2 linked regions of the Zea mays genome follow. The protein of the gene in region 1 interacts with the protein of each later gene in a pairwise test. Links are inferred from orthologs where the notes say so. Each region holds a gene or a part of one and is shown on either strand. Other genes may lie near its edges. The genes, in order: protein TRANSPARENT TESTA GLABRA 1 and transcription factor BHLH42.

Evidence for each region.
Region 2: the proteins of protein TRANSPARENT TESTA GLABRA 1 (region 1) and transcription factor BHLH42 interact in binary tests that used the Arabidopsis thaliana proteins (3 or more experiments, as listed by UniProt). The link is inferred for Zea mays from reciprocal best matches to the Arabidopsis thaliana genes TTG1 and TT8.

Annotation. Positions count from the first base shown.
Region 1 is NC_050100.1:204,509,192-204,513,694, reverse strand, and holds the start of protein TRANSPARENT TESTA GLABRA 1, read left to right. Parts: upstream 1-1,525; 5' UTR 1,526-1,729; coding exon 1,730-2,791; 3' UTR 2,792-2,795; intron 2,796-4,503. Other genes in the region: pale aleurone color 1, read left to right, coding at 402-551.
Region 2 is NC_050102.1:19,933,046-19,937,641, reverse strand, and holds the start of transcription factor BHLH42, read right to left. Parts: upstream 2,826-4,596; 5' UTR 2,681-2,825; coding exon 2,571-2,680; intron 2,459-2,570; coding exon 2,117-2,458; intron 877-2,116; coding exon 780-876; intron 1-779. UniProt on the Arabidopsis thaliana protein: Transcription activator, when associated with MYB75/PAP1 or MYB90/PAP2. Involved in the control of flavonoid pigmentation. Plays a key role in regulating leucoanthocyanidin reductase (BANYULS) and dihydroflavonol-4-reductase (DFR).

The sequences.
Region 1 (4,503 bases):
GCAGTATACATGCAATTAGCCAATTATATTGGAAGTTTCTTCCTTGTTTCTGTGCCACCAGTATTAATTTTTCGCCTTGGGTCACGTGCAATGTGTTGAGCCCGAACAATTGACTAGTTCTTCTTTGGGGGTCACATGAGCGAATTTAAAAACTATTTAGTTGCCTTGGAAGATTCACAGCCCTGAGGGGACAACACGATGTATCTAGGAAATTGCCAGTCTTTTTTCCACATGTTGCCAAGTTTTTATTAAAAAACAAATAGGATGATGCTGATTGCCTCTACAAACTTAAATAAACAAAGATTACACACGAAAGCGCAAAAGGATGAATCTAGGAAATTCCTGCCATTTCATATGGTGAAATTTCTTAAGCTCACAGGTGGTGTTGATCTGTCTTGCAGACCGTCGGGAACAAGTGCTTTGAAAAGTGCGTGACCAAGCCAGGATCAAGCTTGAGTGGAAGCGAGAGCAGCTGCATATCACGTTGTGTTGACCGCTACATTGAGGCCACTGGTATTGTCAGCCGCGCATTGTTCACTTCCCAGCGCTAAGATCACATGAATAAGGAGATGGTTTCGAAGATCGCTCGTGAGAGTAATGTCGCCATGAGTTTTTTGACTTGTCGGAATACAATGACATTTGATGCTTGGTTATTCAAAAAAAAAGTCTGCCTATAGACTCAGGTTTCTTGTACACCTATCTGCTTTAGTAATAGAGAAACGTGCTCTATTTAAGTGGCTCTGATGTTAATTTATGCTCATCATGTGGTTTGTTTCGCTTAATGTTGTATGCTTCTTATGCCTGTTTGTTGCCCAAGCCTTATCGAATATCGTGAAGGATGTGTTGTTGTTATTCGTCGATTACGTGCTCTTCATCAAAGTTATCTGAGCATGCGCATCCTGCCAGGATGAGATGCGCATGTCCCCGGCGCTAGAAATGAACCATGGAGTCGACGTCGACGAACTCATGTCCCCGGCGCTAGAAACGAACCAAAGATTCCCAGTCCACGAAATGACCTGACCAGGGATCCGGTGACATGGGCAACAAACTTTGACCAGACGACGGCTGACTCGTCGCCGGGAAGGATTACAAAAACCGGTCGAGATTCCCATTATCGGTAACGTTTTCGAGTCGACTTTTAAAAATTCGTCCAAAACGTATTTTTTTATTTTTTTTATAAAAAAATAAAAAATATGATATAACCACGTGTTCTCCTGGTACATCTTATATTTAATTTTATTTTTTTAAAATTAATCAGCATTTTTGTAAAAACAACGAAAAACCGGTAAAAAATTAATCAGCATTTTTTTGTTTAATTTGAAGAATATAAACCGGTCGAAAAATTTAGAAACTGACGAAAACCGGGTTTTAACTATTTACTGATTTGTTGATTTACAGATTTTCGAAAGTTTTTTAATTTAAAATTTAAATCGTTCAGTTTTAGCAAAAACCGTCGGTTTCCTAGAGGTAAACCGTTTTCGTTGACTACTGGTTTTTGGTAAACTCTACCCACGTCATCCCACGTTCCAGTTCCACTTCTACCACAACGGCACAACCTCAGTCCTCAGCCCGGCGAGCCGCCGCCCGCATCGTTCAACCCCCGTGCCCGGCCGCCGTTTACCTACCGCTCGCACGCGCGCGTCGCTCCTTTTATCACCTCTCAAGTCCCAGCAGGATCGGCCCCCGCGCAGCTTCGCCCCCACATCTATCGACCCGAATTCTCCACTCAATGGACCCACCCAAGCCGCCGTCCTCGGTCGCCTCGTCGTCGGGGCCGGAGACGCCGAACCCGCACGCCTTCACCTGCGAGCTCCCGCACTCGATCTACGCGCTCGCCTTCTCCCCCGTCGCGCCCGTCCTCGCCTCCGGCAGCTTCCTCGAGGACCTCCACAACCGCGTCTCCCTGCTCTCCTTCGACCCCGTCCGCCCCTCCGCCGCCTCCTTCCGCGCCCTCCCGGCGCTCTCCTTCGACCACCCTTACCCACCCACCAAGCTCCAGTTCAACCCCCGCGCCGCCGCGCCGTCCCTCCTCGCCTCCTCCGCCGACACGCTCCGCATCTGGCACACCCCGCTCGACGACCTCTCCGACACCGCCCCCGCGCCCGAGCTCCGCTCCGTTCTCGACAACCGCAAGGCCTCCTCCGAGTTCTGCGCACCCCTCACCTCCTTCGATTGGAACGAGGTCGAGCCCCGCCGTATCGGGACCGCCTCCATCGACACCACCTGCACCGTCTGGGACATCGATCGCGGGGTCGTGGAGACGCAGCTCATCGCGCACGACAAGGCCGTGCACGACATCGCCTGGGGGGAGGCCGGGGTCTTCGCCTCCGTATCGGCCGACGGCTCCGTCCGCGTCTTCGACCTTCGGGACAAGGAGCACTCCACCATCGTCTACGAGAGCCCCCGCCCCGACACGCCGCTACTAAGGCTGGCGTGGAACCGCTCTGACCTCCGCTATATGGCCGCGCTGCTCATGGACAGCAGCGCCGTCGTCGTGCTCGACATACGTGCGCCCGGGGTGCCGGTGGCCGAGCTGCACCGGCACCGGGCGTGCGCCAACGCAGTCGCGTGGGCGCCGCAAGCCACTAGGCACCTCTGTTCGGCTGGGGACGACGGGCAAGCATTGATCTGGGAACTGCCTGAGACGGCGGCGGCTGTACCCGCCGAGGGGATTGATCCTGTGCTAGTGTACGATGCAGGCGCCGAAATAAACCAACTTCAGTGGGCGGCCGCGCACCCGGACTGGATGGCCATCGCCTTTGAGAACAAGGTCCAGCTTCTTAGGGTCTGACAAGGTTGGTATCATGGTGATCTTTGGTTTGATGCTTTCATTTCTATATAGTTTCTGTTGATTATGTCAATAAATTTAGATTTAACTAAGGGTCTGTTTGGATGTAGATATTGGAGATGTTGGTATTGAATTAGATCCAATACCTTATCTGTCTAGTATTGGAAATGAGGTTCAATACAAATATGTTGTTTGGGTGTATCTGGAATTGCAATTCCATACAATACCTAGAATCTTGGATCTGAATTGTGAGAGACACTTTTTAGTTAAAGTTCAATTCCAAGGAATTGAACTTTAATTCCAGCTCTGAATTCTTTAGCCAGCCAAACAGCAGAATTTAGAATTCCTATTTCCAATTCCAGTCTTGAACATCTACATCCAAAAGGGGTATAAAGACTATCACGCACATTGTTACACATTGGCATGAGGTAGTGTAATTGTACAACTTTACTGAAGATTCATACAGAGCTAACTCTGTCAGTATTACCATATATGGTAACCTAATTTTTTTAGTCCTATGAAGCCTGGAAGTTGCTATTTTTTGCGCATCTATTATGAATTATCCACAAGGACACGAGCTGCTTTCTTTTTCTGTATGTGCTGATTATAAGTGCTAAATACAGTATTTAGTAAATGCATGTATGAGGAATTTAGAATAAGTTCGTCTTTATTTGAAAATTCCTTGGAACTTAAGCTAAATCGATATATAATTGGTGATCTATGTTATCACTTTCCAATGCAAACATGCAGTCCTGAATTGAACACTCTTTTTGTGAACTTGAGAAAAAGGTCCAGTTTTCACCAAGGAAGTTCAGGCTAGTGTTGTGCTAGCTGAATGAAGGTAAATGGTTCCATAAATAGGTTAAACATAATGTCAACTAGTAAATTGCTCGCGCTCCGCGCAAGGTGTTGCTTGATATGTTTATAAAAGATATAGAATTGTGTAGTTTCAAACATGTATATGTACATATATACACATAGAAGCGCTAAAATTTCTAAATTTATAATTGTTTATAGTATCAGGATAGTTCAGACTGAAAATATAATAGAATGAGCAGTCTAAATGTTATATTACATTGATGTGGTATGTAGGAGCTGAGTTCCATGCACAGAATCAATAAATTTCTAGTCTTAGAGAAGACCAAACTTTTTTTTTTCAAGGTTAAAGTACGAAGTACCAATAGTACGTACTTACACATAGGAGCGATGCCAAATTATAAGGGTGTGCACATGCACCAGGGTCCAGGGAAGAAAAATACAGTAGTAAGTTAGCTGATTTCTACAATATAATCATCACTACAAAATTGCCATTTTTAGAGGAAATATGGTAATATGCAAGTTTTCATTATATTATTATGCATTTATGTATTGTGTTTGACTGCTTGGTCTTTGAAATGAAATCATTCCACATGAAAGCTATTAATATTTAACCCTTAAATGATATTATTACAGGTAGTTGTAGGTTAGATGTAATGTGCTAGATTGTCAACTGAATTGAACATGGCATCTATGAACTTGGTAAGAAAATATAGAATGTTCACCTGCATACTCTGGCGCAAGGTACCCAATAGTGCCAGCAAGTCTTGTGTCTATGGTCTACGGAGATGCACTTCCCATCATCTGGTGTAAGACTAACCAATCTAAAGTTCGCCACCATGGCTTTCATGTCAGTATGTTTGATGGATTCAAGTCTATGTGGATAAAGGTCTGCTGGG
Region 2 (4,596 bases), on another chromosome or scaffold:
TTCAATTCTCTATCATGGGGCAAAGAAGGGAATAATACTTTTGGATATCGATAAACAATTATTTGAGCTTCATACTCATATCTTGAAAGGAAAACAATGTTTTTAAGTTCAACTACAATCATAAGCTTATATTTTGTCATGCGTAGCTAACTACTCCCTCCGTTCTAAACTATAGGATGTTTTAAGTTTTTTTAGATATAATACTTTTATTGTATATCTAGATATAGACTATATATCTAAATACATAATAAGGTTATATATCTAGAAAAGACAGAACGAATTATAATTTGAAATAGAATAGGTATATGTTCATTAAGGTTATTTCTTTTCAAATTTATCCTTTTTCTAAAATCACTATAATTTTCACACACTGCAAACTACTCACTAGCTAGGGTCAAAAAGTGCTTTGACTTTGTTCAGTTTTTTTTTTTGCATAGTCTTGTGGGTGCAATTTTAACAAATATATATATATTTTCTATTGAAATATAGATGTGACAGCCCGTCCAAAATCTGTTCGAACGAGGAAGAGCCTGCATATACATAGCATCTCTATTATATATTCTTTCACATTTTATGTAAGAGAGGGTTAATAATCTACAGGTGCTATGTTTCAAAAAAAACGATAGTAAAACTAATTTTGTTGCATCACAATTCACAACACATGGGCCACAGTATGATGTTATTGAATGTGCCAAGTATATTTGCGACTAGAAGAGTACCAAACATTTTTTTAAAAAAAAAAAGAGATAGAAGAGAATGGAGACGGTATGCGTACGTACCCTAGCGAGAATTGCTCTTGAGAACACCTTGCTGTCAGCTTTGTTTGCACCACATAGCCACACATGAGCTCTCCTTACAAACGCCTCCCCGGGCAACCTGAAACGTGGAAGCACTACACATGTATATGACTTATACATGGAAGCTTCTCTCTTGTTACAACAACGAAAAAAAGAACATTATCTGTTTGTTATATGAAATTAAATGTTTGTGCTTTGACATTCGATAATTCATTGATGCATGCTGCATCAGCTATCCGGCTGATTGGATGGTTGAGCACAACAAACCAGGCGGATGCGAGCCTGGTCGGCTAGGTACGCCAATTTTGGCAGTATGAGTGGATGCAACTAAATAGCCTTAAAATATCTTGTTTTGCATCCACATATGCAACCCGTGTCTCTCGCGTATAGACAACCAAATAGAAGCTCGCACAAAGTCAATTGCACGCGGTGGTTCAGGATAAGACGATGCGAATAACGAATTAGACGATATATGATAATGTCAAACTAAGAAACGGGCTCTATAGTAATATGAAGAGACATTAGAGTAAATAAAATAGGACGGGACAACTGTTTTTGAATGTCATGTACGTATATATAATAGCTCAAAAAAGGTGGAAATAATAATTATCTTAGGAGTTTACTGGTAAGAAAAAACAATAATGTCGCCAAAAAAACATGTGTTCCGGTAATTTTCTATGATGGCCTTTTTGTATAATAGTTTACTGGTAAGATTTAGCTCGCCAGCAAGGACAATAATGGGTTTGTTTGGTTCAGTTTTTTCTGATCAGTTTTTTTGAGAATCTGGTTGTAGAGAGAATCTGGCTGTGGGAAAGATCTGAGTATCGTGGGATTACGTGCGGAGGAAAATGAAATGGTTCAAAGGGTTCAAGATCTAGATAGCGATGGAATTTATCGTGACGACTCGATCGATTATGTATTTATGTTGATTTTGAATGGTTTTTAGCGATTTTTATAGAAACAGACTGAAAAGCTGGGACGTTTGCTAATCCGCGGCAGCTTTTTATTGCCAAAAACTAAAAATTGCCCAAACAAACAGGGTCAATATTTAGAGGATCGTTGGTACATGCGGTGCTTATTAGAAGGAACGAACATTTGGTTCATCATCACCTGTGAAACAACATGCATGAGAAAAAAAAAGTATTAGTAAATATAGAACAGCATAGAGAGCCGGTCTATTTATTTGCATATCTTACACGTGGAGACCTTGAGCTCGATCGTTCGTTCCCTGTGCTGTGCTGTGCTGTGCTTCATTCTGTAGATACGTGAGGTAGCATGCAAAGCAAAGCATGTATGTATATAGGCTATAGCCGGTTTACCCGACGGCAGGAGGGAAGCAGTAGGAGGCGCACATGAGGTAGAACCACTCCGTCTCCGTCAGGTCCTCGGGCGCCAGCGCGGCGACGGGCCGGCGAGGCGGCGGCACCACCGCCACCTGCTGCTGGTGCTGCTGCTGTGGGTCGCCGACTCCTCCACCACCGTCGTAAGCGGCCTCCCCCGCCGCCAGCGAGTCGTAGAGCTCCTTGAGCTGCCGGCTGCGGCGCAGCGCCGTCTCCTCGTCCCCGGCGTCCTCCGCGCCCGCCGGCTGACGCACTGTCGTCATCGTCGTCTTGCGCGTCCTGATGGCGCCGTTGTAGTAGCCCTCCGCCCAGACCAGCGCGCTGATGAGCAGGGCCATGCATGCATGCGTGATCAGATCGGTTAGTCAGACAGCGCTTTAGCAAGGACGAGAGTTGGGACGGCGATGGAGCAGCAGGCAGGAAGAAGGCGTACCCTTGGCGCGGGCAGAGGCGCCAGAGGAGGCTGTACGTCCACCCCGTGCTCTGCGCCACCGACTGCAGCGCCTTCTGCGCGGCCTCGCCTCCGCTGCCGCCGGCCGCCATGGCTGGGATGGCTGCCTGCTGCTGCTGCTGCTGTGCTGTGTGCTGCTTCAGTGATCGAGCGCGTGAGCGAGTTGGTGAGGGTCGTCTGAGGCTTTGAGGAGGGAAAGGAGGGCAATGTACAACGCGTTGACTGACTGGTGGTGGTGGCTGGGCTTTGAGGAGGGGAGGGGATGGGAGGGGAAGGAGCGCGCGCCGCCAACTCATGCACCGTACCAAATCGCGAGGGCACGTGGGGTGGGGTGGGGAGGGGAAGGAGGAGGTCGGTCGGGGTAGCGCAAGTAGGTGCATGTGAAAGGAATTTGTTGGTTGGATCCGTCTGTTTAGTACTCCATACGGTGTCGTTTTATAGGAAACCAAACTTGTTTTTTAAGCTCAAGTTTATTCTAAATGGGAATCTCGTCGCACTCTTTCCAGCACTATCTTAGAGCATGTACAAACCTGAGCACTATCTTAGACAGCATGATACAATCCTAAGACCTACATCTTAAATACAGATAAAAGACACATTGTATGGAAAGTTGTGAAGAGACGGACTCTTCGCGAAGTGCTTGTCTCTTGTATTTTTTTCACTTAGCCCATTAGAGACCACTCAAGAGACTCCATATTAAATGGGTTGTACATGTCTTTATAGACTAACATATCAATTAAATACCGCAGCTCAATAACCAATAGAAGTTAGTAAAAAATATGTGAAGTGAAACAGATCACTATCAATAAAGGGTTCATACAGTTTTCAAGACCTTGGAAACCAGCCGACGTGGTTTCATCCCAATAAAACTCAATCCTCTTAGGGCATGTACAATAGGTATCTTAAGATGTATCTTAAAGTGTGTCTAGGGGGGTGAATGTGAAAAAACTTAAGACATTTATCTTGACGAAGACACAGTGTCTTAGCTCTATGTTCGAGACAGGAGACTAGCTGATTGATCACTTTAATTTATTGAATGCTCTGATTGGTACAATGAATATGGTAAGACACATGTTTTAGACATGACCATTGTATTATGTTGTGTTTTAGTTGTATCCTATATTTGGAGTACCGTACAACAGTGTCTAGGTTGTACATGCCCTTAAATACTATGTCATGTCATCAAAAATATTTAATGTGGCATATTATTAAATGGTTCCTTTAGTCGCTCTCCTAAACATGACTAAAATGTAGTCCCTAGAAATCCTATTTGGAATACTTATTTTAGTCGAAGTAGGAACCAAACACTCCAACTAGATGTACGGGCAATGCAAACAGAGGACCTTGACATCGTCCTGGTGAACACTCATTGACAGGCGCTCGTTGGCAGTGATGTTTCTCTCTGCAACAGTACGCTGTGTTGTGGTGATGTATAAAGCCTAGCTAGTTGTTATCACCTTTTTGCACGTACACGTACGGCCTAGCACGTACTGTTTTCTTTTTACCTGTGTACTGTATCACCTACTACCACAGTAGTAGCTAGCTAGCTCCAACCACTTGCTGTTTTTCCTGAATTCTGGGGCTGCACTGCTTCCACCCTCATCCTTCCATCCTGGGATACATTGCCAGTCTCCACAGCATCCCATTTCCGTCAGGCAGGCAGCCGGTGCCTTCTGATCCCAGATCTGTGCACAAACTGAAACCAGCAAGCAACTTTCTCTTGCCTCCATCTCGTCCCTTGGACTTCAAACTGGACGCGCAAACGGATTAACAAAAATGGCGAATGACTTCACAGTTAATGGAGATTTGTTAAGCCATTCCTGGATGATGGGTGATCATCGGTTCATCAACTAGGGTGACAGAGAGAGAGAGAGAGAGAGAGAGAGAGAGAGAGAGAGAGAGAGAGAGAGAGAGAGGAGACTCTAAAAGGCATGCACCAGATTACACGGTATGCACGCACTCTGCCTCCTACACCACATCATCTCACTGAAAACACAACAAAACTTGG